Linked DNA regions of Rattus norvegicus. The protein of the gene in region 3 purifies or fractionates together with the protein of the main gene of each other region. This does not show direct contact. Links are inferred from orthologs where the notes say so. Each region holds a gene or a part of one and is shown on either strand. Other genes may lie near its edges.

Region 1 (6,216 bases), about 110 Mb from region 3:
ACCATGAGTCTCATTGGCTACCTGCAAAGAGAAGATATACTGACCATCCTCAAGATCCAGCTACCTTATCAAGTCAGAAACAGAATCCTGACTCCATCCCATGTTTCATATCTCTGATTCTTCCTGTTTCCTTGAAGAGATATATTATAGCAGACCTTTTACAGGCAGAGGTGTTAAATATTCACACCGGATTGGGGAGCTGAAAATAAAACTGCTCCAACAACTCATACATACAGCAACAACTAAGAAGCACATTCCTGCTCTGAAGTTAAAAACAAAGTCCATCCAGCTTTTTTTTTAGAAAAAAAGAAAAGATACAACGACCTTGCTGTGTAGCCCTAACAAGCCTCAAACTCAGGCTCCTCCTGTCCGTCCTCCCCCCCCCCCCCCGTTCTAGATTACTGATATGAAGCCTCTTTTCTTAGTCTATGCATGTAGTCCCCTGCAACCTCCTACAACAGAGTTATCCTAAATTCTGGCCAGCCATCATCACCACTCCACCTGTTCCAAGTCCACATCATCTGCCAGTTTCATGTTCTTGGTATGGATCTGAAGAATTTCCAAACGTCCTGTAGCATCAGGGATTCCAATATCTACCTCTCTGTCAAAGCGACCTATGGGACAATAAAGGAATGTAAAATAGGAAGTTTCTGGTCCACAGAAGTCACTCCAGAACTCTCTTATTTAAAGTTAGCATTAATGCCTCACAACCTGGAAATCTTTCAGACTTAGGCAAAAAATAGATAGTTACTCTAGAGCAGTGGCTCTCAACCTGGATCTCGACCCCTCTGGGACAGAACAACCACTTAACGGGGGTGGGAGTGGGTGTCACATATCAAATACCCTCTATGACAAATATTTTACATTACAATTCATAACAGTAGCAAAATTACAGCCATGAAGTAGTAACAACTTTATGATTGAAGGTCACTACAACATGAGGAACTATATTAAAGGGTCGCAGCACTAGAAAGGTTGAGGGAGTGCCCTAGAGAGAACACAGAATGGAAAAAAAAAAAAAAAACCTTAGGTCCTGTCATGACAAAGAACTTAAATTCTGAGGATTAAGTAACTTAAAGACATAGGTGAGATAAGGAAATCAAGCCCAACAGACATACCAACAATATACCCTACAATATATCAACAAGTAAGGACAGGCTGGTTTGCACGATGGTGGTGCACAACTTTAATCCCAAGCACTCAGAAGGCAGAGGCAGGTCAATCTCTTGAGTTTGAGGTCAGCCTGGTATTCATAGTTTCAGGACAGCCAGGGCTACACAGAGAAACTCTTGTCTTATATATTAAAAAAAAAAAAAAAAAAAAAAAGGGTGGTGTAGGAAAAAAATTTAAGGTCTTTACCAAATCGCCGTAGGGCTGGGTCAATGCTGTTGGGTCTATTGGTTGCTGCCATAACTATCACATGTGCTCTCTGCTTTAGGCCATCCATAAGGGTCAACAACTGAGACACGATGCGACGCTCCACTTCCCCGTGAGTCTGTAAGACAGTAGTATGTCTGGTCAGAAGCTAGGTCAGGACCTCACAAGTCCTTACCATCCCATTGGGTAGGTTCCTACTTTCTCTCTTTTGGGTGCAATGGCATCAAGCTCGTCGATGAAGATGATGGCAGGAGCATTCTTTTCAGCTTCCTCAAAGGCTTTACGAAGGTTGCTCTCAGACTCACCAGCCAATTTGCTCATGATTTCAGGACCTCAAGAGATACACAGTAGACAATGACAGGGTCAGTGAGATGCCTTAATCAGGTCAAGGTGCTTATTGCCAATCCTGGACCCAACGTGGCAGAAACAAGGAACTAATTTTTTCAACTTGTCCTCTGACTTTCACACAATAATTTTTTTTAAGACTTACTTATTTTATTTATATAAATAAGTACACTGTTGCTGTCTTCAGACACACCAAAAGAGGGCATTAGGTCCCATTACAGATGACTGTGGTTGCTGGGAATTGAACTCAGGACCTCTGGAAGATCAGTGCTCTTAACCACTGATCCATCAGCTCTCCAGTCCAAGAACACAGTAAATTAATAAGTTATTTTTTAAAAACAATGACAAAAACCTGTCCTCCCCCAATCCCTAAAGAAACTTTTATTTTTTTCCCTTATCCTAAATACAGGTCCGGAGTTAAGAATGCAGTAATCCCTGTGCCTAATAGCCCTTTCCACCCATTACTGAGTAAGAGTTACCTGGTCAGACTACAAAGACCATGGCTCTATATACTTCTGTTAGGATGACAAAGATGATTTGGTAAGAGGCTAATTATCAATGGACCTCTAATAATCTAAGTATCATTCTAAAGACAAACAATGATCCCTCAGCTCATAGTCACACAAATATTCTCAGATAAAAATAAACCTTTTAGCTGTGCATGGATGGTGGTACATGCCTTTTAATCCCAGCACTTGGTAGGCAGAAGCAGGTGTAGTTCAAGACCAACCTTGGTGTACAGAGTGAGCCAGAGCTACACAGAGAAACCCTCAAAACAAACAAACTTGATTTATCCTAACAGCTTGTTCCCTAAATGCCTTATTCACAATCTTTCTCAAGGGAAGGAAAGACAGACCTGGGCTACAAGAAAACTTGTCAGGGCCACACACTAGGCAAAATATTTTTGTGTACTGTGTAAAGATTATCCTTGTGGGGCTGGAGAGACAGCTCAGAGGTTAAGAACACTGCTCTTCCAGAGGTCCTAAGTTCAATTCCCAACAACCACATGGTGGCTCACAACCATTTGTAATGTGATGCCCTCTTCCGGTGTGTCCGAAGATAGCTACAGTGTACTCATTACATAAGATTAATAAATAAATCTTTTAAAAAATAAAAGGATTACCCTTGCATTATTCAGATGCTGATTTTTTTCTACCCCCCATATCTATGTGAAATCCTGACATGGAATGTAATGCTTATTACAAGTTTGTGTATACATTGCTCCCCATTTATTCTGACTTGTCAATAAAATCTAACCAGCCAATGGCTGGGCAGAAGAGAAGAGAAAATAGGTCAGGACTTCCACCAGTTTGGGGATTTGGGGGGGTGGGGTGGGGAAGGGATGCATTGAGGAAGGGGTCCCAGAAGGGGTCCCGAAGACAGCTCTGAAGCCCAGAGAACCAAACCGATAGAATTAAATAAATCTTAGATTCAGTTTCATTTGTGAGCTAGCCAGGAATAGAGAAATACTAACACTTTTAAAATTACAACAATACCACTCAGTGAGACCATATCTCAATTCCTATCCCTTTTCCACCCCAACCCCCCCACCAAAAGCCTTCCCCTTATTGCTTATCTTCCCATAATACACTCATTCATCAGAAAATGATTAAGTGAGGCTACAGAGATAGCTCAGGGCCTAAAGAGTCTGCCTTAGATGCATGCATACCCAGGCTAGATCCCTAAAATCTATGTTAAAACAAAATAAAACAGGCATGGTGCACACAAACTTGTAAATCTAGCACTGGAGAGATAGGCAGATTCTTGCAGCTATCTGGTTAGTCAATCTACACTAACAGTTCCTGGTCAATGAGACCCTGTCTCTAAAAAGGTAGACTGCACCTGAAGACCATGAGATTATCCTCTGAAGCCCACACATGTGCACGCATACCACAATACATTAACAAACATACATACACACACAAAAATGGCTAAACTTAGGCTGGAGAGAAGACTCAGTGGTTAAAAGCATTGATTGTTTGGTCCAGGGTTCAATCCCCAGCACCTACATAGTGGTTCATGATAACTCCAATTTTAGGAGATCTGATGCCCTCTTCTGGCCTCCTTAGGTACTGCAAATACATAGTACACAGACATGCAGACAAAAAAAAAAACAAAAAACAAAAAAAAAAACAAAAAACCCACCAATAACCTTAAGTCATAAAATAATTTTCTTAATATGCTAAAGGGTATGCAAATGATGTCTCCATGAGATGCCCCACTCAGAAATGGGTCTAGTCAGACATAAGATGGACCAAGTTTCTTACCATTGATCAGAAAGAAGAAGGCTCCAGTTTCATTTGCCACAGCTCGGGCAATCAAGGTTTTCCCTGTCCCAGGAGGTCCATATAGCAAGATTCCCCGAGGAGGCTGAGGACAACAAAGTTCAGTTAGGGTCAGGAGTTTACCTTCCCCCAACCCCCCATCCAAAAGTAGCTGGACTAGAGCTCTAGTGAGGGATGAGAAACGGGGCTCTATACTGATACCATAAAGAAAAAGTCTTTGGGGTTTAGAGGGATGGCTCAGCATTTAAGAGCACTGGCTACTCTTCCACTGATTGTGGATGTGGCTGACAACCACCTGTAACTCCAGTTCTAGAGGATCTAGCTGATGTCTTCTTCTGGTCAGTTGTAGATACTGAAAGCTTGTGGTGTCTACATATACATTAACGAAACTAACAGCCACACACATAAAAAAGAACACACAAGCCTTTGAGACCCGTTTATAAACCCAGCTGAAGAGAATAGTAAGAATTGCATAGTCGAGGCCAGACTGACTTACAATGGGAGACCAAAAGAAAACACAAAGAGCCAGATGTGGTTTGCATCTTTAATCCCAGAACTCAAGGCAGAGGCAGGTAGGTCTCTGAATTTGAGGCTAACCCGGTCTATATAGCGAGTTCCAGGATAGCTAAGGATACATAAAGAAAGAAGCCCTGTCTGCTGCTACACACACACTCTCTCTCTCTCTCTCTCTCTCTCTCTCTCTCTCTCTCTCTCTCTCTCTCTCCCTCTCTCTCCCCCTCTCTCTCCGTCCCTCCCTCCCTCTCCCCCTCCACCCCCTCTCTCCTTGGAAATAAACACTAACATTTATAAACTCAATTTGCATAGGAGACTAATAGTGAACAACCTTAAAAAAAAAAAAGAACCACCTTTAAAAAGTCACACCTGGGGGACTTTACAAACTGGAAGGACAGTGAATAATAAGTTATTATGCCAAGGCCTCAATAATTTCCCTTTGGACAAACCAGGATGCAAGGTACTTACTACTAAAGCAAGGTCTGTTTTTCAGGGTTAGAGCTCTTCACTCATGTGTTTACAACCTTTTAGGACAGTGGTTCTAAATCTGTGGGTCACGATCACTGGAAAACACCTATTTCTGATGTCTTAGGATTTCCCAACCGTAAGTTTTAATTGCTACTTCATAACTCTAATTTTGCTACTGAGTGGTATTTCCGATAGTTCCTAAGAATTGAACTCAGGATCTCTGGAAGAGCAGTCACTGTTCTAACTGCTGGTCATCTCTCCAGCCCTAGAATGTCTTTTTTTCAAAACAAGATTCCTTTCCTAAAACAGACAAATAGGACTTCTCTGTGCAACCCTGGCTGTCCTGGAACCACTCTCTGTAGATATGGTTGTCAAGTCTCAAATTCATAGATGCGCCTGCCTCTGCCTCAGAGAGAATGAAGGCATGTCTTTTCTTCTAAAATAATCAACTGCACCTTTCTTGTAAGTTGTCTGCAGCCTTATCCACAAGACATTGAAACTGCCCTCAAGACAAAACCACTTGTATGCTTAGTAAGCAAAGTAGTCACACTTCATCTTTAGTGTGTTCTATTACATATAAAAGGTCAAAAAACTATTCTAGACAGGTGGTGGTTCTCAGGTGTTTAACTCAGGATCTGAAAACTCGATTAATTTCCTTCTTTTATTGAGTAATACTCTACAAATATTGGCAAAATTATGGTTAAAATTTTAATACGATCCATGGGAGATCTCATTGTTTAAGCATATTATGTGTGTATACGCGTACATACATATACATGACAATCTATAGCTCTAATGAATTTTTAGAGCCTTCTATAAACCCAAAGATTATTATTGCCCCTTTAAGCCATTTAGGGCATCAGTCACACCATGAGAAAACATTATAGCACTGTCTTAGACTCCCCACAGATCTTAGGATACTCACCTTCACACCAATTGCCTTAAAGAGTGCAGGATGTCTCAGTGGCAGCTCCACCATCTCCTTTATCTGAGCTAGCTGCTTCCTGCAACCACCGATGTCATCATAGCCTACTTCATTCAAGGACTCCTCCTCATCCTGAATATAAAAGAGTATAAAACAACAACAAAAACCAGAATAATATTGTCAGCAAATATACAATTTCTCCAAGTCCTCCCACTATTTGGTATGGAAAAAAATATGTTGTGTGAGAAGATTCTCTTCTGCAGGGATCTTGTCTTAAGCCAGGTAACATGTCTGTAAATTCTG
Region 2 (6,216 bases), on a different chromosome or scaffold from region 3:
ACAGAGGATTGGCTAACACATCGCCAAGGAGCCAACACAGCTCATTAGGAGAGTTCTCTGCCCTCCAATGCTGTAAGAATGCTCTTCTGAGAGGAGCGACAATCACTGGGGTGGATAAACCCAAGCTCACCTTCCCCAGCCTCCGTGCAATCCACTGTGAAGTGAGTAGGCTCGTTTGCCTTCAGACCACTCCTCTCCACGCCCGGTCCAAACACTTTGACCTTTTGGGGATGGCTACCTTGTCCAATGTTGACCTAGGAAAGACATGAACCCAGAAAAATACATACTAGGATCCAGCATAAGACTAGAAATGGCCGTTTTGTAAGTCTACAGAGTATTCTGTCCTTTAGGACAAGTCTCTTTTCAAGGCCTACCCAGAATGGTTTTCTTCTATACATCTGCCTTGGTCATCAATACACAATGTGCAGACTCAACACACAGCCAGGGTTTCTCGTATGACCAGGATGACCACAACTTACCCTGTAGGGGCTGTGTGGTATGTTCACCCCTCCCCAGACCACAGCTATGGTGTGCTTGATAGCTTTGACCGGGGTATAGGAGCAGACATAGGTGCCATCCATCCGGCTTTTCATCTGGATGTCAATGGGCTGGCCTTCCCCATCCTGCAAAAGAACCAGAGCATGGACCAAAGCACTCCTCGAAGTGTCTCCGCTGAAAGGGGGTCACTGAGGCTTCTACGGATGGCCAAGATACCACCAATTTGTCTTAGAAAACCATACGGCGATTACAGTGTGCTATGCGCTCTCACAACAAATAAAACCAAACCGTCCCCCCAACGCGACAGGCATCACCAGCTTACTTAGGATGATCTCGGTGTCTTTCCTTGGGCCTCCTAATTACCGGGGATCATGTCCATGCTGTGCCCAATTTCATTTACTCACTTATAATTACTAAGAATAAACGCTATCTTCTCTCCCGCTTAAAGCCAGCGCCACTTAGCACTTCATTTCAATCCCAGAGTTGAAGTCCTTCGGCTCATTTTAACTAAATCAGATACACGATAATCTAAATTTTGCCCACAAACCTACTAGGAATTACATAGACTCAGCCAAACTGAAAGACATTACGGAAAAATCTGAAATAAAAAAAAGCCTTCTTTTAACAGAGCGTGAATCACTGATATCATCGTGAAAAATGTCCTGGTTTATATCCGATCATGTAGTCCTCACGCCATACTGTCTGTGGGATACTATTACTGCTCCCGGTGTGCGGGAGAGAGCGGAGGACCAGACACACTGAGCACCTCACGTTATACCTCTGACCTGACAAGGGCAAGCGGCCCCAGGCCCAGATACTTACCTGAGCCAGTATCTTTAAGGGAGCGTTCCCGGCATCCTTAGGATCTACGATGAACTCAGCTGGGTTGTTGATAGTACAACCAGTTTTCTCCAGACCTGGCCCATATGCTTGGACCTGAGGCAAAAACCGAATAATGATTTGTTTTTCTGAGTTAAAGAATGGGCTGGAAGGGAGGGTGTACAAAATGCCTGGCCCTTAGTTAAGGATGGAAGTCGGAAGTAAAATCGCAAAGTAGGCTGAAACTTAAATAAAAATAAACACCACTGGGGTTGGGGATTTGGCTCAGTGGTAGAGCGCTTGCCTAGCAACCGCAAGGCCCTGGGTTCGGTCCCCAGCTCCGAAAAAAAAATAAATAAATAAATACCACTACTAGCTGTCCTTGAAGAAGAAAACACTCTAAAACAAAACCCAAACTAACCCAGCTACCTGCTGTACTCTGAAATGACAGAAAGAATTTCTAGTTTCTGGCAGATCTTTAGATGTGCCTGAATGCAAGGCTCCCACTTCGAGGGACTGAAGGTTGCAGCCACCACAGGTCAAAGAAAGTGCCACAAGTTGGCCATTGACGGTAGTCTATAGGTAGCTATAAAAGGTGGCAAGATGAGCCTCTTCCACAGGACAGGCATGTCCTTTAACCATCCCAGAAGCTCTGGGAGAGATGCTCTCACTCCTGGTCCATAGAGAAAAATGCCGAGACTCAGAGAGTTACACGACTCTCCCAACATCTAACCCATTCCTGTCTGCCACAGGGGAGACAGGATAAGAGAAGAGAGTGCTCTCACTAGATCTGGGTTGTAGTCTCCTGTGGCAGGATGGATGAAAGCCATGTATGGGCTGTCCTTGATGTCTTCGTCGTCGCACATGATGTGAACGGCATATTCTCCAGGTTCCTTGGGCCAGTATTTGACGTCACATGAGCCATCGTTCTGATCGTCATACTCGATTTTTGCCTGGGAAGGACCTTCGATGGCAAAACCTGGGGGACAAGGCGGAAGGGCCTTCCTGGTTACACATGGTGAGAATTATCTAACCTAGGTTACTACCATCGGTTCTCTGCCTCCTGGAAAGCAAGTAGTGAGTAGAAAACTGAAATCCAGTGTGTCTCTTCCAAAAAACCAAGGTCACTGGTTCTTAACTAGAGGCGGATATTTCTGGTTTTCAGATGACAGAAGAGTCAGAAGGCGGTGCACACGGGGCAGGGGTATACAAGGACCAGAAAAACCCTTCTATTGGATATACAGCAACATATCCAGAAGCCTTAAACAAGTACTCCTTTGTCTAAACCCATTTCTGAGTTTTTATCTGAGTAAATTAAGTGAGGTTATACACTCAGCACTGTTCATATAACAAGATCTTGGATATGACTAGCAAGCCTAAGAATAGACTGAAACATAACAAAATCCCACAGCTACCCCCACTCCTCTGGGGCATAAAGGTATAAAGCTATGAGTGTGTACAGGAAAGGGGCCTAAGAGAAGACTAAAAGGTTAATTACTTCCTTAAACTACAAGCATGCTCCAAAGTGACTAATCTTCCTACTGGTGGAAAGTATATATAATTCCTACTATTTTTCCCTCTTTTGCTTGTTGCTATAACTAAATGGGTGTCATTAAATATAGCTCCCTGGCCAAATTCAGCTCACTGCCTATTCCTCTAGAGAGAGTTTTACAGGAAAGTAGGCATACCCATTTATTTGTGTGTTTAATAACTGCTTCTAAGCCACAATGGCAATCACATAATTGTGACAGAGATCATGTCACAGCCAAGGAAAAGAGACTGGGTATGTGGCCCTTTCTAGAAAAAGCTTGACTTCTAATCTGTAACGATCACACATTTTGTCAGGCAACCACTTAAAATATATTCAGCTTCGTGCCAAATAATATATTTGCTTTTTCAAATTTCAGCTAGCTGTACCGAGGCACCTATTTAATTTAAGTGTAAGTTACCAGTGTTTACCAGTGTGATATTGTATGCGCTGTTTAGCAAACCACTGCCCCATTCCCAGGGAACTGGTGAATAAATAAATAATCAAATGCCACAGGCATTGGACAACTGAAAGCAAGAAGGAAAAAGAAGACCTAGAACGATACAGCATCCAGAGGAGGTCTTGGGTAGCTGGGAGGCCACGTGAAGCTAACACTAGGCCCACCTCATGACTCTTAGCCTTAAAGAAGCTGTGGGGACAGCTGCCTCTACTTACCCAGAGTCCCGACCTCAGAACCAATGGATTCCACCACAAAGTCTGCTGACCGACCAACAATGCCACCGTGGAGTCCAGGGCCCCATGCACGGACTTTCTGCATGCCTGCCTCAGGGCCAACTTGAACTTCAAAGGGGCTAGAAGGAAGGAACAGAAGAGGATCATAGAAGGGGTTCGAGATAACCATGAACTCTTAACATAATTCTTTCCATTTGCCTGCTCTTTTGCAGAGGCTGAAACTCTAGGCAAGTAAGTTTCTTCCCCCACACTGGTCACCCCCACAGCCATTGTTATGTCAACAATATAATGTAATATGGTTGCTTCAGGGGCTGGGGGTAACTGGGCTGTCACTCAAGCAACACACTACTTGCTCTGGTTAGCTCATTAGTGAGTGACCTTTGGTAGGCAGGGCCTTCTAGAGCGGGAGCCTTAAAGGTAAGAATGTCCACGTTTCTCTTTCTCCTACCTATGCTATCACCAGAAAAGTCGTTTGAACAGGCTTCAGTTCATTCGTATGTGATCGAACATGCTTCAACTTTGGCAAGGGACGTTTTTAATAAGAGTGCTCAGACACTGAAAGCCTTATAAGAGGTCCCCCTTATCTTCTGTTTTATTTTCTTAAGTTTCAAATTTGGTCTACAGTGTGTGTATCGTTATGAGATTAATAGCAGACCGGTGCTTGGCCACGGTGCCTACGTTATTCTTTCCCCTTTATCTCATTACGTCATCTAACACCACAAGAAGGGGAAGTCCAGCACAATATGGTGTAGTTCATTAACTATGGTGCATATTCATGTAGCTTTCATTCTGCTGCTTCCTTGCTAGTGCTCCCAGTCTCTTATTGTGTGCATTTTATAAATTAAACTTTTTCATGGGTGTACAAGTCTGGGGGGGGGGGGTAACCCAGCACATGACGTTGTCTGGGGTTGGTTTCAGGCATATATTTATGGTTTTAGAAGGTAACTTTTATGGACAAGGGAGGGCTACTATAATGCTCAATTATTTCTCTAGACAAACAAAATGTATTCAACGTTTAAATTGCCCTCAGGAGAGCGTCAGAGCACAGGGGTCCAAAGAGGAAACTGCTATAGCCCCAGGCAACGCTGTGCCCAGGGATCCCTTGTCCCTGATGGCGATCCTGTGGATGGGTTTTTATGTGAACCATAGCCCGCTGTGCCCCTGTGGCACTCGTGAACAGAGGCATTCATTGAGCAGGAGAGCCTCGGCTTCTGTAAGGCTGTACAGACAGACACACAGCCCACTTGCTCTCCATTACACCTCTTTCTGGTTCCCCTGCCTCCCACAGGCACAAACCACCGGCATTTGATTTAAAGCAGGGCAGCTGAAACCACAGCGACTTTCTGTTGCTTTTGAGAGAAAGCCAAGTGTCTGTGCTGCGATGAAAAGGTGGGGAGGGGAGGGAGGGAGGCTTCAACAAAGCCGATCTCTCTTCCTTCTGGCAGCCTGGGAGGCAGTGGGCTCCTGTGAGCCTGTCACAGGCTGAACATACCTCTAGATGAGGCCCCTCTCCAACCCGGACTCACCTCTTTGGAATGTGGTGTCCCCCCCAAGTAACTGCAATGCTGTATTTCCCTGGTGTGCTGGGGTAGTACTCAAACGAGTAGACCCCATCCAGAAAGCCCTTCTGCTTGACCAGCTCCTCCAGGCCCTCTGTGGAAAGCAAGCAAGCACACAGCCTTTGCAGTATAATCCTTGGCTTACAAGGAGACTCCCCACAAAACACAGGCGACCTACAAAAGTTAAACTCTGAATGTGAGATCCCCCTCTAAAGCTGGGAGAGGTTTTTCCAAAACTCAAACCAGAGCCATTCTCAGCCTCCAAGAGAGAGAAATGGAAGACTTCCCAGCTAACTCCATGCAAAAAGCTCTCGGCTGGTGGAGGCTGAGGTTCCAGGCCAGATGGGTTGTTTACTGGGTCTCAGTATTCCCCCTCCCCCAGTCCCAACTGCCTTCCAGCCCCCACCTCACAGCCCCCTTGCTGCCCCACAAACACTGGAAAGGGAGGTCATCTTTATGATTACTTGTCTTGGACTAAGCACCTATGACTCTTTTCCTGCTAAGGCAGTACAACAAAGGAAGCCCTTATAAGCTACTTATGACAAGGCAGGATTTAGGTTCAATAGGCAATGTGGATCTATCCGGCAGAAACTTGTTTTATGTGGTGAGTCAAGAAAGGTCTCCAAGGTCAGAAGAGAACACCTCTTTGGCTCCTGTTGCCATAAGCTGAGCAGGGGTCGTGGACTGTGGGTGGATGGAGGGACAGCCGCAGAGCTACATGTACTCGGCTTTAGGTCTGGGCAGTCTAGAACCTTGGCTGTCCTAGGGGCAAATCCTTCTCCAAGGCTCTGAGCTCTGAGCTCACACAGGAACGTCCTGGACTGAGGCTAATGCCCATACAGAGGACAAGAGAAACACGGTGTAGGAAGCGCGGACCTCTACAAACTAAAGCCACCAAGTGCTGCTGGCACCAGCAGCTAGGCCTTCAGAGCTACCTCTCCGTTCCCTGGAAGTCCTGAGACAGGAGATGCTGACCTCATGACTGTTGCCTCCGTCCCAAAGGAGGGAGGAGGAACAGCCTACTGCAGAAACAACCCTCTGCCAACTACCTGCCAAGAAAACCATCCTGGGGCATTTTAGTCTCCTATGACCAGCGATCATGCTAATGTAGTGATTGAC
Region 3 (5,830 bases):
GGAAGAGCTTGGTGAGTTTGAGGCCAGCCTAATCCAGAGAGTAAGTTCCAGGACAGCTAGAGCTACATAGTGAGACCCTGTCTCAAAACACACACACACACCCAAAAATTACGGCAAATTCAAAATCTTTTTTTTTTTTTTTTGAAAGGAGAATAAGAAAAACGGCCGGGCTGGAGAGATGGCTCAGTGGTTAAGAGCACCGACTGCTCTTCCAGAGGTCCAGAGTTCAAATCCCAGCAACCACATGGCGGCTCACAGCCATCTGTAATGGGATCCGATGCCCTCTTCTGGTGTTCAGTGGTGCCCTCACTGAAGACAGCTACAGTGTACTCATATACAAAGTAAATAAATAAATCCTTTTTAAAAAAAAAAAAAAGACAGGGCCACTAATATTTTAATGGTTGCTACTGTTTTCATTCTGAGTTACACTGCAAGCCCTAGTTACTAGGCACAGCATAGCCTGCCAGCTGCCTCCATGTATTCACTCAATAGAGGTGGCCTGAGAGCACAGTAGGGGCTGGACACCCTCCTGGTGGTTCAAATCTGCTTTAGTTAGCCACAGAAAGAGGCTAGCTTGTTGGGTTAGAGAAAATGGCACTGTTTGTTTGTTTGTTTGTTTGTTTGTTTTTGAGACAAGGTTTCTCTGTGTAACCCTGGCTGTCCTGGAACTCACTCTGTAGACTAGGCTGGCCTTGGACTCACAAAGATCTGCCTGCCTCTGCGTCCCAAGTGCTGGAACTAAGGGAGTGAACCATCACCTTCAGCTTGAAAATGCCACTTCCACTGAGTAGTTTCAAAGTCTTCACAACTGATTTTTCGGAGAGATGGATGTTTTCAAGAGGCCAGGTACGGCACTCCCAGAGTATTCTAGAAATGTAGTATTCCAACACCCCAGATACACATACCCATGCCTTCTATACAAGAGTCAGTCCCTGTCTTGGGGTTGACAAGAAGGCTGGGCTGTAATTTTCGCAGCTATGGACCTATGTTGAGCCATATGAAGGAGTCTGTGTGGAATCCCCTGAACCTCTGCCTCCTGCAGACATCAGACAAGCAGGGGACATAGAGGGAAGAAACCTCAAGAACCACATCCCCTCTATGATTGCCATACTAATGATTAAGGTTTAACTTGTGAAATGGGCTGTCTTTGTTATACAGGCATTGGAAAGAAAGAAAAGATCCTACTTCTTTAATTTTCTTTTAAATATTGGGCTGGAGTGATGTCTATGTGGAAAGTGATTGAAGAAAACACTCGACATTAATCTCTGACCTCTACATGTACAAGAACCTATATGCAAAATAGATAAACAAAATTTATATACCCAGTTCCTTCTAAATTTCAAGGGCACCTGCACTCACATATACACAACGCCCCCCTAATACCTTATATCAACATAATTAAAACTAAACCTTAAGAAAAACCTGGGTGCTAAGTATATAACTCAATTGTTAGAACACTTACTTAGCATTCACGAAGCTCTGGGTTCTATCCCCAGCACTGCCGAAAATGACTAAAATCTCAGAACCTAAGCAGAAGAGACAGAAGGACCAGTTTAAGGCCAATTTCAAAGTGAGTTTGAAGTCAGCATAGACTACATAGCAAGACTACTTCAAAAAACAAACTCATCTGACTCAATGTATCTTTACGTAAGCAATAGTGTTTGTTTGTTTGTTTGTTTCTTCTCTTAGCTTTTCAAGACAGAGTCCTGGTGCTTGCTCTGTAGAGCAGGCTGGCCCTGAACTCAGACATCCACCTGCCTCTGCCTCCCCGAGGCTAAGATTAAAGGTATGCATCACTGCCCAGCTACAATAAGGTCTTAATAAACTATTACAGGATAGAAATGCTTCCTACAACCCCCCCTACCCCAACTCCCTATGCTTTGAAAACTATTGTTCTAAACTAATAACCAATATCTTTGGGTAATTCTGATTGTTACTATGTTATGTAGTTTCTTTATTATTATAACATTTTTCCAAGATAACTAATTTCCAAGCTAACAAATGGCAAATACGTTTTCTACTATTAGTTCCTGTTCTGACTTTTACATGCCTTACGCAGGACCTGAAGTGCTGGGAGTTTAGGGAGTTTTAGGGCACACGTCAAATTACAGACTTGACCCTTAAGAGCCTGTCTCTTTTCTTCCCAACTACACTTTTCTTTTCATTCAGTTTTGCTTTTCTCATCCATTTAAGGTGTGCCTCAGGAAAAGGAAACCGAAACAGAAACAGCTCTGGAGCCCAGAGACTCCGCCTCTTCACATCCACAGCTCAGACTTTAAGAGAGCTGACCCAGTGAGTCTCTCTCTGACTGTGAGAGCCAGCAGCCAGAAGCTGAGAGAAGCAGAGAGAAGCAGACTCCTTAGTTTCAGGGGACCTAGTGCTAAAGCCTACAGCCATGGTGAGTCCAATTTGGGGCAGAGGCAGATGGGCTTCATTCTAGTTGACTTTATTCTATTCCTCGATAGGGTCTTTCAGAGGCAGAATAGCCTCAGTGTGGGGACAGAATAAAGTTGCTCAAAGCTCACTTGGGGGCTGGGGGTGGAGTTGGGTTCTTTGCTCAGTTATCAGCCCTAGATCCCTTAGGGCTGGACCCAGAAGGATATCTTTGTGGGTGAACTGAAACAATCTGATGGTTGTGGGAGGCTGACCCTTTAAAACTGAGGCCTCTGTATCATACAATACTGGATGGTCCTCCCTGAGGAGAAGATGGATGTGGGACATGGGGGCTGGCCCTACGACCAGTGCTTTGCATGTGGTAACTCCCAGCCAAAGTTATTAAGCCAGTGGTTCTCAACCCATGGGTCATGAACACTTTGGGGGCCTGAACGACCTTCTCACAGGAGGTCCTTCTCGCAGATATCCTGCATACGGCAAGATCACAGTTACAAAATAGCAATGAAAATAATTTTATGGTTGGGGGTCACCACAACTCAAGGAACTGTATTAAAGAACAGAAGCATTCTATTAGAGTCGCAGCATTAGGAAGGTTGAGAACCACTACTAAATCCATGTAATTCTTGCAGACCTGGAACCTAAAGGTGAAGATGCTGGGGGGCAAGGAGTTCCTGGTGTCCATGACAAACTCCATGATGCTGTCAGAACTGAAGAAGCAGGTTGCTCAGAAGAGTGGTGTGCCAGCTTTCCAGCAGCGCCTGGCCCACCAAAGCGGTGAAATGCTACAGGATGGTGTTGCCCTTATCAGGCAGGGCCTTAGTTCTGGCAGCACAGTCATGCTGATGGTAGAGAACTGCAGCCATCCTCTGAGCATCCTGGTGAGGAATGAAAGGGGCCGCAGCAATGTCTATGAGGTCCAGCTGACACAGACTGTGGAAGTGCTTATGAGGCAGGTGTCCCAGCACGAGCAAGTCTCCCAAGACCAATTCTGGCTGAGCTTCAACGGAAGGCCCATGGAGGACAAAGAGCCACTGGGGGAGTATGGCCTAACACCCCACTGCACAGTGATCATGAATTTGCGCCTGAGGGGGGGAGGGGACTACTATTTCTAAGGCCCCTATCCAGAGCCAATGTAGGTAATAAAAGACAATACAATAAAAAGTTCTGCTTTCTGTTTGCTTGTCCCATTCAGAAATGCCTTCTTTCCATGGTGACAAGGCTCTGGGTTGCCAAGTTAAAAGACAAGGATTTCACAGTTAGAGCCTAGTGAGGACCCTTTGGGTGATTAATTCACTTCTGGAGAAAGATACTTTTACTGGGACCCAGTCCTGAGCCTCTGCCAGCATCTAAAAACTTCCCCAAGTCTACATGTGGCTCAGGGACACATCAGGTCAGTTCCTACCAGTAACAGGATGAGACTTCTAATAGGACCAGTTAACTGCTCAGATCCTTTGGAAACAGTGAAGGAATGTTCTTGGACCTATCTGGGTAAGCTGTGAAGGAGGCTGATATGGGTGTTCCCAGTCCCAGTTGCAGTAGACCACAGAGGGAAGGACAGGGTCTCACTACTCAAATCAGTCACCTGCTGTTTAGGACATGGTGGTTAGCAAGTCCACCTCATCAGGGCTATAAAGAGGCTACCTTAGGCAGATTAGATGGGCACCTGGGATTGGGGGCTCATCTGTCCACAAAGGAAATCAGATCTCAGAAAGGAGGTACCCAATTTGAAAAAGCTTCACCCCCTTCCTGCCTGATGGTTCTTTATCTTGTCTTTTCCTCTATCACAAGCCTTTGAGTCGGCTTAAGACACAAACAAGTCAGGGCAAGTACCTCTATGGCCCTTCAGACTTTTAAGAGAATTTGAACGGGGCTGGGAGATGGCTCAGTGGTCAAGAGCACTGACTTGCTCTTCCAGAGGTCCTGAGTTCAAATCCCAGCAACCAAATGGTGGCTCACAACCATCTGTAATAGGATCTGATGCCCTCTTCTGGTGTGTCTGAAGACAGCTACAGTGTACTCAGATATAGAAAATAAATAAATCAGAGAGAGAGAGAGAGAGAGAGAGAGAGAAAGAGAATTTGAACGGAGACTCAGAAGACCCCCTTCTGGTTGGTGTGTTTGTGTTTATCCAGATTAGGTGACCCCAGATCTAGTAATGCTGGAGCCCACAGTGTAGATGTGACCTCAAATCTTCCTTGACCACTTCCTTCCTTGAATCCTGGCAGGGTCCCGGTGGTGGAGTCTCTCAGGAGGAAGAGGTTCTGCCACTCACACTTCCCAATGGCTTCTGGTTCAACGGCCTATGGCCCATACACAGTCTTTGGAAGACAGAACAATGTCTTCTCTCTTTCCTTCAACCTTCTGTAGGTCTAGCGCTGGCCTGGCTCCCGTGGGCCTCAGTTTATACCATGTACCTTGCTAGGCCAAGCTGGGGAAGCGCTGGGGGAAAGGGAGGGGGGCGGGAACGTGGTAAGTTCTGTAGCAAGACTAGAGAAGACAGCTCTAGGTAGACAAGGTGCATCCCGCTGCCTTACCCAGCCAGGGGCCTGGTGGACAGGTCTGAGCGCAATTCTGAACAGTCACCGCTGACCGGCCATCGGCAGGGGGCGTAGCCCTGCTGGGCTGTCGTAGAGGCTGTGGTGGTACCCGTACGGCCGCGGGGAGCTCAGCGAGCAGTCCTAGCGAGAGGCCGACCCAAGGGGTTGGGGAACCGGAGGTCCAGCTCCGCTATCCTTTCGTGTCCAGAGAGCCCTGCGGCTCTTGGCGCCCGGGCGAGCCCCTTGGAATTCCCAGCACGTCGCCCCTCGATTATACATTAACCTGATTTCAGCTGCATTTCCTGGTGGGAGGACAGTTTAGGCGGACGGGGGAGGGGCCCCCGGCGCCACGCCTTCCCCTCCCCCAAGGCGGCCCGCCACCCACCCGGCCGAGGCCCCCGCCCCAGCTCGGCGCCGCAGTCTCCGGGCTTTGTTCGCTGCCCGCGCGGGTCGTAGGGAGCGGGGGGACGGGCTGAGCTCCCAGGGGGAGGGGCGGTGCTGCCCAGTTCCCGCCCCCGGCCCGCCCCCACGCCGTCCGCCCTCCCACCTCCTCCGCCTTGCTGCGGTCCAGTTCTGTCCTGCCCCCTGCACGGTCCGGCCCGCGCGCTCTCCCGGCTCCCTTCCGCCGTTCTGGGCTGCGCCATGGTCAGCCTGCGGCTGTGTTCCCGGGCCCCGCTGCTGCCACCGCTGCTGCTCTTGGTGGTGGCCGCGCGAACCCTGCCGGGCGCCAGCGGGACGTGCCCGGAGCGCGCCCTGGAGCGGCGCGAGGAGGAGGCGAATGTGGTGCTCACCGGCACAGTGGAGGAGATCCTCAACGTGGACCCGGTGCAGCACACGTACTCATGCAAGGTGGGCCCCTACAGGACCCCACGAGACCCAGCCCTCTGGAATCCTAGCCA
Region 4 (6,355 bases), on a different chromosome or scaffold from region 3:
ATCTCTCAGTCTTGACCAAGATGTCGCCCCCAATCCTCATTCTCTGCCCATTGCTGAGAGCCCACATTCCATTCTGCAGGTGTCTGCAGGTGGGGTTGACTGGGCCAACACCTCAGGGAGCTGCCAGGAATGGCTCACCCTTCCTGTACCTTCTCTCCAGTCCTCCTCCTCTGCACCTGGCCTCTGGAAAGCGTTGCTTTTTTTTTTTTTTTTTTAAAATAAGGTGTTTTTTTTTTTTTTTTGATTTATTTATTATATATCTAAGTACACTGTAGCTGTCTTCAGATACACCAGAAGAGGGCATCAGATCTCTTTACAGATGGTTGTGAGCCACCATGTGGTTGCTGGGAATTGAACTCATGACCTTTGGAAGAGCAGTTGGGTGCTCTTAACCGCTGAGCCATCTCTCCAGCCCGAGAGCGTTGCTTTTAATAGTATTTTAAACTTGTATTTGTTTATTTTGTGGTACTGATAGAGTTTCAAAACAGTTTGGTTTGGACTGTGCTGTATGGCCAAGGCTGACCTTGAATTCCTGATCTTCCAGTCTCAGAGGTGCTGAGGGTAGAGGTGTGAACGTTATAAACTGAGGGTTTCAGCATAAGATGTATAGAGTCAGGCATGACCCGTGCAAGGTATGGCTGAGGGGAAGGTTTTTATTGTAGATGCAAGGGGAAGAGAACAGCCAGAGGCATCTGGAAGAGTGCAGAGCAGGGAGAGAAAGTAGTAGATTGGCCATGGCCAGTGGACTGGACTTGACCATGAGGTAGGAGTGAGGGAGAGCGGGAGAGGGAGACGAAACGTGTGGGCAAGAGAGATCAAGGAGGAAAGTAAAATGGGACGGGAGATTGCATAGCTGAAATGGGAAGGTCATAGGAGAATGAGAGGCTGTGGGAGGGAAGCCTGGGAGCTGGAGTGTAGGGTAGGGGTGGGGAGAGAAGAGCTGGGGGATCCATAGGTACCTAATGCGGAGGAAGCCTGGAAGTTAGCGCTTTGCTGTACTAGCGGGGACAAGGAAATTGCTGTTAATAGAGAACAGAGCCAGCAGCTGGGGGAGGAGTTTCCTTTGGATCTGATGAGTAGTAGGTCTGGCTGACTCTTTTTTTTTTTTTTTTTTTTTTTTTACCTTTAAGGTGTTTTCATGTATCCCAGGCTGGCCTCACTTTGGCCACGTAGCCCAGGATAACCTCGAACTCCTTTCTGATCCTCCACTTCTGGAATGTGCCACCGTACCCGGTTTATTTGATGTAGAGGATCAAATGGTGCTTCATGCACACCATAGGACACTCTATTGAGCCACACCCCAAGCTCCTATTATGTTTGTTTGTCTGGTTGGTTTTGAAGACAGCATGTATGTGGCCCAGTCACTCTAAGAACTCTGTAGCCCAGGCTGGCTTCCAATTCACAATGCTTCTGCATTAACTTCTGGGTATTGGAATTACAGGCATATACCACCATTCCTAGTCTGGTAAATTTAATCTCCAGGTTACTCCCCCCACCCCACCCCACCCCCTGCCTCTTCCTAGGGGAATATTAGGCTGGACGGAGGAAGGGGCTGAGCCTAGAGCAAACACTTAGCAAAGACCCCAAAGGGTGCTCCAATTAGAAACACTCATCCCTAGCCCACCATAACAACTCTGGATTCTGAGAGGGTGGTGAGCAGTAGTTTCCAACTTTTATTTGAGAAAAACAGAAAGTACATGTATCAAAAGAGCATTCAGATTGACAGAGAGGGAGGGCTGGTGACGGCTACTGGGGATGGGTAGCAAGCTGAAGGCTTCTACTTGGCTCCAGACTGTTCCGACTCTGGGCCTCCAATTTGGGCACGGGCCTCGAAAGTGACCGGAATGGTGATCTCCGCTGATTGTGTGACTGCTTTGGGCAGCGGAGCCTCCACGGTGAGTGTGCCCTCAGGGGACAGGGAAGAGGACACCAGGGTGGGGTCCACACCTGGAGGGAGCCTAGAGGAGCAGAAACAAAGGACAAGGGTTACACATCCCTCCTGACCCCGCCCTCCGCCCAGGGTCCGCTCCCCCACCCCCCAGCTCTCCATGCAAGGAACCAGAACTCACGTGTATTTCCGGGTGAAGCACCGAGAGATGTAGCCATGTTCATCCTGCCTTTCTTCGTGCTTGCCTGTGGGTGGGGACAGAAGGAGGTCAGAGGCAGCCCTCTGCAGTCCTAGCTAAGGAATGGCTGGGGCCCCAAGGAGGCAAACAAATTAAGAGTGTGGTGGGATGCCTGACTGTCTGGGATCTTAAAACTTTCCAGAAAGTTCGCTTCTGAGATTTGGGATGCAAAGGTCCCGGACCTGGGCTTGGCTCTGACCCAGGCTTGGATGCCAGCGTAGGCATACTCGAAGCTGTGCGCACGCCCCCACCGCGGCTGGGTCTAGGGACCCTGACTGGAGTCCTGCCACTTGCTTATTTGGGGATGAGGTCTTCCAGAAGGTGCCTTGGGTCTTCCTTCATTTTGTTTCTGTGCTGCGGGTGGTCAAGGCCTCAAGGCCTCCGGGCTTGCCAGGCAAGACTCTGCCCTGAGCTACACCCCCAGCTGTTGGTCCTTATCATCGAAGATGACAGAGCTTTTAGGAGCAAACCTGCACCCCGCGTTCCGGGGCAAGAGAAGCAGGCTAGGGAGAATGACGCGGGTCTCCGGGTCCCTGAGCTCATTTCTAACTTTTCAGGGTCCTGTCCCTCATGGTTTCAGCACCCACCCCCACCCCCCACCTCCACTGCCACCACGTTACTCGCTCGCCCCACCAGCTTCGTCCCCTCTTGGGATAAGGGAAACTCACCAGTGATCTCCACCACGCCTTCCTTGGTCTTAACTGTGAGCTCCTCAGGAGCGAAGTGGTTGACGTCCAGGGACACGCGCCAGCGATCGGCCGTCTGTCGGATCTCTGAGACACCGCTGCTGAGTTGCCGGTTGAGCGCCCGGCTGAAGGCGGGCGCGGCCAGGGTCACTGCTGCGGGGCCCTCGGCGGTCGCGGCGGGCAGAGGGCGCACATAGCCGGGCCAACCAGCGGAGCTGAACCACTGAGACCACTCATCGGGAAACCGAGGCACCCCGAAAGCTTGATCGAAGAGGCGGCTGTGGGCAGGGTACCAGTCCCGGAACGGCTCCCAGCTGGGGCTCCGCAGTAGCGAGAAGGGCACGCGGCGCTCGGTCATGGTCTTGGCTGAGCTGGTCAGGGCTGAGGATCTAGAAGCACTGGGCTGAGGATCCGAGAAGTGCCGAGCTGGAGCCCCAACTGTGCTTTTATGGGTGTCCAGCCGGGTATTTTTAGCAGGCGGTGCTTCAGGTCTCTATTAATGGCAATGACCGTCTAAGGGGCCGTCCCTCGCCGCCCCTCCCCTCTGCATTCCTCCCCCTAAGCTTACGAAGGGGGCGGGCAGGCAGGGCCAGGAAGGTTCTGCCCCCATCTGGAAACTTCTCTAGTTGAAGAAAACAAATGACTGTAATACCGGTAGCTGGAGCAGTTCCCACTGTCGCTTAGAACGCTGCAGTCTGAAGGGCGGTGGCCTGGGGCCAGTCCCATCGTTTGTGGAGAATAAACCAGGAGGGGTACGGTCTTTTGTGTCGCAATTAGGAAGCAACTGAACCTGGTCTGAGCCAGAAGGAGGCCTGTGGGGACACACTTGTCAGGGCACACCTGTGGAGGTCTCTGGATGACCAGCCAGACTAGCTGTCTTCTACCATGTGTCTCTTTGGGGACCAAAGGCTTGGTGGCAGGCGCCTTCGTCCACTAAATATCTTACTGACCCTGAGACTTCTTTTTCTCTTCCTTCCCTCCTTCCTTTCTCTCTTTCTTTGAGACAGGGTTTTTCTTTTTTGTTTTAATGCTTTTTTAAACATTATTTTTTGTGTATCAGCGTTTTGCCTGCTTGTACGTCTGTGTGAGAGTGTCAGATCTTGGAGCTACAGAGAGTGTCAGATCTCGGAGTGCCCTGCGGGTGCTAGAATTTGAACCTGGGTACTAGGAAGAGCAGTCAGTCCCCCTAATCGCTGAGCCATCTCTCGGGAGACATCAAGCCTGGTGCCTGCAAACTGGATGGGCAGTGAACCCCCTAGCATCCTCCTGTTTCTGCAACTGCCCCACCCCTCCAGCCTAGCGCTAGGATTAGGATCTTTTTTCAAAACAGGATTTTTCTGTGTAGTCCTGGTTGTCTTAGAACTCATTAGACTAGGCTGGCCTGGATCTCACAGATCGGCCTGCCGTTTCCTCTGGGAGAGTTGGGATTAAAGGCTAGAGGCATCACATGGTAGCCACCTCCAGCTTTTATATGGATTGCTTTGTGGTCCATACAAAAGAAACTAGGGTTAAAGGTCACCTGTGATGTCTATTAGCATACCAATGAGCACTGGCCTCTGGGCTCACTGGGCAACTGAAATACTACTCTTAGCTCTTCTCAGCCCTTCTCACCCTGCCCCTTACTCATAAACGTCTCCAGTTCTTGGGGCTCCCCTCCCCCAGCTTCTCACGACTGTATGTGCTCTCTTGGTCCTCTCTCCCTCATCCCCCTCTCTTGGTCTTTTTTGCCCCATCTCTCTTTGCTGGCATCTGTCCCTCTCCCAATCTCTCTTCTCTCCTGTCCACACACACCCAATCTGCTGGCCATATGCAGTTCAGTTTCTCTGCTCTGGATTCTTCCAGACGCCTCTGACTGTATGCTCTCATATCCACCGTAAAAACTTTCCCCTTAACCACACCTCAGAGCAGCCATGTCCTCAGTTGTAGACCCAAAACTCAGCCCCCAAGTTCGCACAGCCACCTCTTTATCCACTTTGGGATTTTTCAAGTCCCCCATTTGTCTTTTTGTTTTTTTTGTTTTGTTTTTTTTTTTTTCTTTTCTTTTTTTCGGACCTGGGGACCGAACCCAGGGCCTTGTGCTTGCTAGGCAAGCGCTCTACCACTGAGCTAAATCCCCAACCCTTTGTTTGGGTTTTTTGTTTGTTGAGAATATGGTCTCATGTAGCCCTGAGTAGTCTGGAATTCTCTATGTAGCCAAGAACGACCTTAATTCCTGATCCTCCTGTTTGTACCTCTGAAGCGCTGGGATCATAGTGTCTGCCACCACATACAGCAGGAATGTCACATTAAACAGCCTGGTGGCCTCACTGGGAGGGTCAGGTCAGCTCCCAGACCACCAGACGGCTTGAGTTTCCACTGGTTCTGTGGAGGGGCGGGGGAGTCTGTAAAAGCTACATTCTCCGTTCTTTACTCTCTCTTGCAAGATGGGGATGACAAGGACGCGAATGCTGATGTCATCGGGCAGACATGAGAGTCAGTGACATCATATAAGTGAAGATATAGCCCAGGGCCTCTGAGTCATAGTTAATTATTGGTTATTTGTTATCCACCATGGCTCAACCATCAGTAGGGTTCAGTCATCCCTATCCCTCAGGGGGTGGACCTGACAAACCAGGCTGCTTTCAAAGTTGTAGCAACCCTGCTGCCTATGTTTCTCAGGACTGGGAAATAGGCCACGCCCCAGCCCCTCATTAGGGGATTCAAGGCAGGGCCTCTACCACTGAACCACGCCCCCAGCCCCTCACTGGGGGATTCTAGGCAGGGGCTCTACCACTGAGCCACGCCCCCAGCCCCTCACTGGGGGATTCTAGGTAGGTGCTCTACACTGAGCCACGCCCCCAGCCCCTCCCTGGGGTATTCTAGGCAGGGGCTCTACCACTGAGCCACACCCCCAGCCCCTCACTGGGGATTCTAGGCAGGGGCTCTACCACTGAGCCACGCCCCCAGCCCCTCACTGGGGGATTCTAGGTAGGTGCTCTACACTGAGCCACGCCCCCAGCCCCTCACTGGGGGATTCTAGGCAGGGGCTCTACCACTGAGTCACGCCCCCATCCCCTCACCATGGGATTCTAGACCAGCATTATACTGCTGAGCTCTATCATCATTGGTTATTTTACTTTTTTAAAAAAGAGATTTATTTATTTTATGTATATGAGTACACTGTAGCTGTCTTCAGACACACCAGAAGAGAGCATCGGATCCCATTACAGATGGTTGTGAGCCACTATGTGGTTACTGGGATTTGAACTCAGGACCTTTGGAAGAGCAGCCAGTGCTCTTAGCCACTGAGCTACCTCTCCAGCCCTGGTCATTTAACTTTTTAAAGAAGTTCTTTAATTTTATTATTATTATTAATTGTTATTGTTTATGAGTGTGGGGGATGGGCTTGGGGGAGGTATGGGCGCCATCGCACATATGTGGAAGCCAAGGTGATCATTTTGTGGATCTGGTTCTCTCTCCTTCCTTCTTTATGGCTCTGGGAAATGGAATGTAGGTTGTCAGGCATTATGTGTGTGAATGTTTTGCCTGCGTGTATGTATGTGT
Region 5 (6,216 bases), about 6.1 Mb from region 3:
GGACAGGAGTGATGTCACCCACCCAGGGAGGACAAGGGAGACCCACCACAGGGCATGAAGCCCCTGAACTCCATAGCTGCCAGTTGGTCCCTATGAACGCGGTCTCCAAATGCTCACTAGGACTCTTCTAAGAATTATCCCCTTATTGTGCTGGGCATCAACACACACAATAAGCAGGAGGGTCCTTGTGGGTACCTATGGCCGCACTCTCAGCCCCGCCATGGTTAGTGCTAACTGTGACCCTCCCAAACGCTGATGGAAGGAAGGTGCAGTCCTGCCAGCTTCCTGTCTGCCCTGACTGTAACCTAAGGCTTCACTGCTGCCCTGACTTCTCTAATACGAAGGGTTGTAGTCGGGAACGGTAATAAACCAAACACTTCCTTTCCCCAGCTGCTTTTTCTTGGGATATTTTACTGTAGCAACAGAAAGGAAAACAAGACAGACTTAGTGTCAAAGTCACTCACTGGGACCGGCAGGATGACTTCAGGGTTGCCGGCCAAGTCGGCAATGTGACGGTAAAGGGGCACCCCCTTCTCCACGGCACCAGCCTTGCAGACAGCCAGGGACACTCCCAGGATGGCATTTGCACCAAACTTAGCTGGAATAGAATGAAAATGGTGAGCAGGGGCCATTTCTTAGCCTGTTTCCCACTGGGCTGCATAAATGGCCCACCCGCCCTCCTGGAGATTCGCGTGTTGAATCCACAAGTGGCTGATTACGAATCTCCAACCGACCACTGAGGAACAGCTCCCCCTGTGCACTCACATTTATTCTCTGTGCCGTCCATCTCGATCATCAGCTGGTCAATCTTCTCCTGCTCCACAACATTCAGTTTCTGGAGAGACAGGAAGTGAGGGCTCAGCTACCACTTGACCCCACTCTCCCACCAAGCAGCTCTTCAGAACCCTGGGAACCCTGGGAATTATGTGCACTAAGTCTGTGGCCATGGGGCTGGGAGTAGAGCTCAGCAATGGAGCTTCTCAACGTTTGCCAAAGACTGGCTCGACACCCTGAAGGGGTAGAGCAGAGAGAAAACAAAACCTCGCTTCACTCGCTCTATTCAACAGCTCCAGGCATTTCCTGTTCAAAGACTACAGTCTACCTAGGCTACACACAAGGGTGTTCTTGGATAAAAATTAATAAAGTTCATTGTTCATTCAAGCAGGCAGAGGTCTGCAGAGGCTACCACCTCTAAAGCTCTTGGCCAAGACAAGGACAGAACACCATTGTTTGGTGAGAACACAGGTTGTCCAGGATCACCTTACCAAATACTTGATTGGTAAACATGGCTATTTTGGGGAGTGTTATATGAAGCAATAAACTGTTTCAATCAAACAGCGCATGTGGGTGCTGGAGATGGCTCAGCTGTTAGAACACTTGTTGCTAATGCAAATGATCTTATGCTCTTTCCTGGCTACCCCAGACATGCACATGGTCCATACTACACATGCAAGTACATCACTGTATATTCATTCACAGACACTATGTAAAATACACATCCCTGCGGTGCTGTGCGTGTGAGTGGTCAGCCCTTGCTGTTGTTTGACAAGGCATTGTTGAAGGCAAACATTTGCCCAAGCAGAAAGTTCCCAGAGGCTAAACCTCCCAAGAGTGTTCAATTCAAGGAGGGCCTAGGGATGACGGGACAGTGGGCGCACAAGGAGGCGCCCAGGAGACTGGAGCCGGCAGTTGTAATGAGCAACTGTCTGGGGACCAGACAAAGAACCAATCAGTGTTTGTTACAGGCTCGCTGGGGACAAAATGGATGATACAGGGCCAATCTGTGATTCAAGAGGGAGGAACTAAATGTTAGCAAACAGAGATGATGATGGCCGGTGGTCCCTCTGAGAAGCGACTGGGATAGGACCACAAAGGCAGCACACACACTGTCCAGGGACAAGCTGTGGCCCATGTCCCTCACACTGACCAGGTACAGTGCCTTATGCCTGGAGCCACAATCTCAGCTGGCTGTGAGCCACCTCACACTGGTGCTGGGACCAACCTCAGCTCCTGAAGGGCAAGCGCTGCTCTACTGAGCTTCCCTTCCAGCCTCAAATGAGGATGTTTTAAAGTGGGGAAAGGGTTGAATTCAGGGCTTAGCACTCAGTATGTACACATCAAAAAAGATGGAGGCTGGGGTGGAGTTCTATCTCCTTATACTAGAATTGCAGGCACCTGCTTCCACCTACATCCCCAGTCCCACCCAGTCTGTAACAAAGCCATCCAACAGAGCAATAAATTCCAAAGTCCCACTACTGCCTTGAACAAAGTCCCATGACACACAAAGGTCAGGAGAGCATATGGAAACATGTCAAGCACTCCCCACCCTGCCCCAGATTCAGGCGCTTTCAGAAGCAATGGCACACACTGGCAGCAGGCAGGTTAGACTCATGCCAGCTTCCAAAGCTCTCAGAATAAGCAATTCTTGTGAAGAGGAGAGGCCTGGCCCTTGCTCTGGTGGCATGGATACACAGTAGTTACAGGGGATGGGTCCTACCTTGCTAACCAGAGCAGGTGCAATAGTTTTATTGATGTGCTCAACAGCCTTTGAGACACCTAGAAGAACAATCATGAAATTACTTACACAATTACAGTACACAGGCTTGAGCAGCCTCGCTGGAGCACCGGAGTCCTGGGCCCAGAAGCCCGAAGAGCCTCCACAGGATCTTGTTAAACCCCCATCCCCCAGAATGGGGCTTTCTGTCCCAGTCTGAGTCCTCTTCCCTAGCACCCCAGGGGGTTAAAGCCACACCAAGAGCCATGACCAGAGTGCTGGGGGGGGGTATTAGTTCAAGACCATGCACTGGGAAACCCAGCTGCACACCAGGATGCCCAGCGTGTTACCTGAGTGCACAAGGCTGGTGCCAGGAACTCATTAACATATTTAACAGGTCTGGAGACGCCTACCCATTAGAGGTGAATAGAGAAGGAAAAAGACTCAGGAGAGAAAGGATTCAGAGGACACAGAGGAAAGAAAGTGAAGGAAGGAGGCAGGGGTGCTTCAGTAGTCAGGCTTCTAATGCTGGCTGGCTCTAATGCTGGCTGGCTCCTTAGCCCTGAGACCCCCTGACACAACCTCTCTTTGGAGATTTCAATTCCCGCTCTCACCACTATTGGTTACAGTAATGGACTTTCCCTAGAAAGACCAGACTGGAGGTTGGGGATTTAGCTTAGTGGTAGAGCGCTTGCCTAGGAAGCGCAAGGCCCTGGGTTCGGTCCCCACCTCCGAAAAAAAGAACCAAAAAAAAAAAAAAAAAAAAGAAAAAAAGAAAGGCCAGACTCTGCAGGGGGGTGTTATCAGAGAAAAGGGCAGGGCCCAACTCTGCAGCACCTGGGGGGGGGAGCAGACTCCACTTACATAACAAAGGTCAGAGCCACACCAATCTTAAAGATCTGAAGGCCAGAGATCTGGGAGCTTGTTTGATCAGGCTGATCCTGTCAACTGGACACCAGTGACGGCATCAGTCCCTTGTGGGAGGAAGGCGAGGGTAAGCTGCCCTGCTGCTTTCCTGATGGCAGTGCTCAGCAGTGCTGTGGGTGAATGCCTGGGAGGGGAAGAGGTTGGTGCGTGCAGATGAGACTAAGTTCCTATCCTTACCCTTCCCCATGAAGCGGGTCTTATCATTGTCTCGGAGTTCTAGGGCCTCGTAGATGCCAGTGGACGCACCGCTGGGCACCGCAGCACGGAAGAGACCTGGGAACAGTGGGGGGAAAGAAATTCAACATTGGGCAGTCCCAATACACAGGAGGATCCGTGTCTGAAGCCAACTGGGACCAAAGAAATTCTTGTACCTCCAAGTCCCCAGTTAGTAAATCCTCACTCAGAAACACGACAGCCTTCTCACCCGCCTGAGTCTTCCACACCACTCTTTATACAGAGTGAACACAACTTCCTGAGTGAGGGACATGCAAGGTAGCACTGTCTGTGCCCACCCTGACTTCCTGCATATCCAGATGGTCCTGGCCTAGGTGAGGCAAGGCTTGTCAGTGGCCACAGACACATAGATTCACAGTGCAAAAGCTGGGTACACGGACTAGGGTGACACATAATCCCCAGGCCTGGGTTCTTATGTGGGTCCTGGGGGTTGGACGCTGAGCCTCATGTCTGCACAGCAGGCATTTTCCTAACTGAATCACCTCCCCAAATATCTTGGTCCACAGTTCCAATCTCAGCACCTAAGACTGAGGACTTGACTTCAGTGTAGGCTACATACACAGGAAATCTTATGGCAAGATAAACTAATTATCGTAAAAAGCGCTTTTCATTGGCAGGCGAAAGCATAAAGATTCTAAAGAGCTACAGTTAAGACACCCGTCTTGTTTGACTGTTTAAATGTCAATTTAGGGGGTTGGGGATTTGGCTCAGTGGTAGAGCGCTTGCCTAGGAAGTGCCAGGTCCTGGTTTGGTCCCCAGCCCCAGAAAAAAAAAAGAAAAGAAAAAAAAAGTCAATTTAGGGGTAAAGCTGCACCAGCAGGTGGAGCCATCTCCTGCTATCAGACACCTTGTCATGCACGATGTCACCAGCAGGTGGAGCCAAACCCTGCTATCTGACACCTGATGCTACCTAGCATTCCTGGTATTCACCAGGAAACATTGCCAGAACACAGCTGAGAACCCCTGGCAAAGACAATGGCGGCCAACAAGCAGGCACATGCTGGTGATTTGAGGATCCCTCATTTCCTGGGACAACGGGTAGGTAGGGCTGGGCTCTGGTGCTTGAATTCTGAGTCACACAATGACTCAGCCCAGACTGGTGAGCTTGTGAGCTCTGTAAGACGTTGCTACATCTTCCCCAGGCCTCTTTCCTATGGCACCCACTACATGCATCTCTACATCTAGATGCTGGAATCAGCAGGGGTGGGCTTTTTTTTTGTTTTGTCTCTGAGTAGTAGAAACAGGGCCTTGCTATGTAGCCCAGGCTAGTCTCAAAACTGGCAATCCTCCCTCCTGAGCAGGCCCAAGTGCTGAGATTTATGGTAGTCGCTGCCACACCCAGCCAATCTCTCCTTGCAATGCTGTGATTTAAATTTAGGACTTCCCACATATTAAGCAAATGCTCTGCCAAACTATATCCCCACTCCCTTATAACACACGAGTTCCTCACCATGGGTAGCTTGGCCTAGAGGAAAAAGCAGAGCTTCCGGGCTGTCTCCTTCCTTTCATGTGGGGAGAGAAGGCTTCCCCCTCCATTGGCTGATCCGATCAGGAGGCCAGGCTTCTTCAGGAGCCAGGGCTTAAGCCCTCCCTTACTTCCCTGCCCCGGTGACCTACCCAACCCACATCCTGTCTTAAATACCAAGAAGCAAAGCCAGACATGGTGGCAGATGGCTCAGTGGGTGGAAGGCTCAGAGGGATCAGAGTAGATCAGACTCTGCCTTGCTTCCCCATCACATTATCAATAAACTGTGGTGCAAGAGACCAGGAAATAATGTGGGTTCGTGTACCTTTTGCGGTGTAGAGATCCACCTCAACGGTGGGATTCCCGCGGGAGTCAAAGATCTCTCTGGCATGGATCTTGAGAATGGACATGGTGAAGTTCTGTAGGGGGAAAATAGTTCATATATTACCCATAAACTCTAATATAGAAGGTTTATTTATCCCAAGAGATCACCCCCAAGATCCTGGACCTGGACAGAGAACAAGTGGGCTACGTACAGAAGTCACTTATAGCCCTCTGAAGCTAAGTGTTCTGTGGGCAATTAGGTAAATACAAACTGGACAGAACTATGTTCTGGCTGCGCAGCGAAGTGGGAAGTAACAGAGAAGGCAGGTCAGCGATTAAACAGACCTGTAGACCGGAGGGAAATGCAACATTGTGAAGCAGGGTGATTGTGGAAACAGAAACCCCAATTCATCAAGTTGTACCCATGGCAAGGGCAGAACATTCAGCAGACACAGATTTGATAACCAGTAAGAAATTGTGAGAGGAAGGCAGAATCCCAAACTCCTTGGCTGGTGGTCATCAGTACTGCCATTCTCTAGCCCGGTGGCACATGCAGGCTAGATGCCTAACACGTGGGCGGTCCTGGGTTCAATGGCCGCCATATTTAGGCAAGAGTTGACTTCTATTTCAAAGGGAGACCTTGTCTCGCCTTTAAAAGGTACCCAAAGTAGATGTCTAATTAGAAAACACCCCAGAGAAAGAGGATATTGAGCAACAAACAGCAAGTCTAAAAAGAAGGTCCCTTTCTTACTTCTTCCCCAGCAGGCTTTCC

Evidence for each region.
Region 1: the proteins of Isg15 (region 3) and Vcp purify together in Homo sapiens (affinity purification with mass spectrometry, with the first as the bait; 3 studies listed by BioGRID). This does not show direct contact. The link is inferred for Rattus norvegicus from reciprocal best matches to the Homo sapiens genes ISG15 and VCP.
Region 2: the proteins of Isg15 (region 3) and Flnb purify together in Homo sapiens (affinity purification with mass spectrometry; 3 studies listed by BioGRID and IntAct, with this or other methods). This does not show direct contact. The link is inferred for Rattus norvegicus from reciprocal best matches to the Homo sapiens genes ISG15 and FLNB.
Region 4: the proteins of Isg15 (region 3) and Hspb1 purify together in Homo sapiens (affinity purification with mass spectrometry; 3 studies listed by BioGRID, with this or other methods). This does not show direct contact. The link is inferred for Rattus norvegicus from reciprocal best matches to the Homo sapiens genes ISG15 and HSPB1.
Region 5: the proteins of Isg15 (region 3) and Eno1 purify together in Homo sapiens (affinity purification with mass spectrometry; 4 studies listed by BioGRID, with this or other methods). This does not show direct contact. The link is inferred for Rattus norvegicus from reciprocal best matches to the Homo sapiens genes ISG15 and ENO1.

Annotation. Positions count from the first base shown.
Region 1 is NC_086023.1:62,010,239-62,016,454, forward strand, and holds part of Vcp (transitional endoplasmic reticulum ATPase), read right to left. Parts: intron 6,046-6,216; coding exon 5,914-6,045; intron 4,093-5,913; coding exon 3,990-4,092; intron 1,710-3,989; coding exon 1,576-1,709; intron 1,496-1,575; coding exon 1,360-1,495; intron 615-1,359; coding exon 502-614; intron 22-501; coding exon 1-21. UniProt on the Homo sapiens protein: Necessary for the fragmentation of Golgi stacks during mitosis and for their reassembly after mitosis. Involved in the formation of the transitional endoplasmic reticulum (tER).
Region 2 is NC_086033.1:19,447,828-19,454,043, forward strand, and holds part of Flnb (filamin-B), read right to left. Parts: intron 5,192-6,216; coding exon 5,065-5,191; intron 3,956-5,064; exon of another isoform or gene 3,760-3,955; intron 3,658-3,759; coding exon 3,521-3,657; intron 2,297-3,520; coding exon 2,103-2,296; intron 1,435-2,102; coding exon 1,321-1,434; intron 624-1,320; coding exon 480-623; intron 255-479; coding exon 131-254; intron 1-130. UniProt on the Homo sapiens protein: Connects cell membrane constituents to the actin cytoskeleton. May promote orthogonal branching of actin filaments and links actin filaments to membrane glycoproteins. Anchors various transmembrane proteins to the actin cytoskeleton.
Region 3 is NC_086023.1:172,064,084-172,069,913, reverse strand, and holds Isg15 (ubiquitin-like protein ISG15), read left to right. Parts: upstream 1-2,257; 5' UTR 2,258-2,395; coding exon 2,396-2,398; intron 2,399-3,023; coding exon 3,024-3,506; 3' UTR 3,507-3,545; downstream 3,546-5,830. Other genes in the region: Agrn (agrin), read left to right, coding at 5,574-5,780.
Region 4 is NC_086030.1:26,428,998-26,435,352, forward strand, and holds Hspb1 (heat shock protein beta-1), read right to left. Parts: upstream 3,305-6,355; 5' UTR 3,171-3,304; coding exon 2,795-3,170; intron 2,134-2,794; coding exon 2,070-2,133; intron 1,959-2,069; coding exon 1,778-1,958; 3' UTR 1,643-1,777; downstream 1-1,642. UniProt on the Homo sapiens protein: Small heat shock protein which functions as a molecular chaperone probably maintaining denatured proteins in a folding-competent state. Plays a role in stress resistance and actin organization.
Region 5 is NC_086023.1:166,004,752-166,010,967, reverse strand, and holds part of Eno1 (alpha-enolase), read right to left. Parts: exon of another isoform or gene 6,196-6,216; intron 5,540-6,195; 5' UTR 5,531-5,539; coding exon 5,446-5,530; intron 3,695-5,445; coding exon 3,599-3,694; intron 2,904-3,598; coding exon of another isoform or gene 2,845-2,903; intron 2,557-2,844; coding exon 2,498-2,556; intron 836-2,497; coding exon 766-835; intron 599-765; coding exon 465-598; intron 1-464. UniProt on the Homo sapiens protein: Glycolytic enzyme the catalyzes the conversion of 2-phosphoglycerate to phosphoenolpyruvate. In addition to glycolysis, involved in various processes such as growth control, hypoxia tolerance and allergic responses.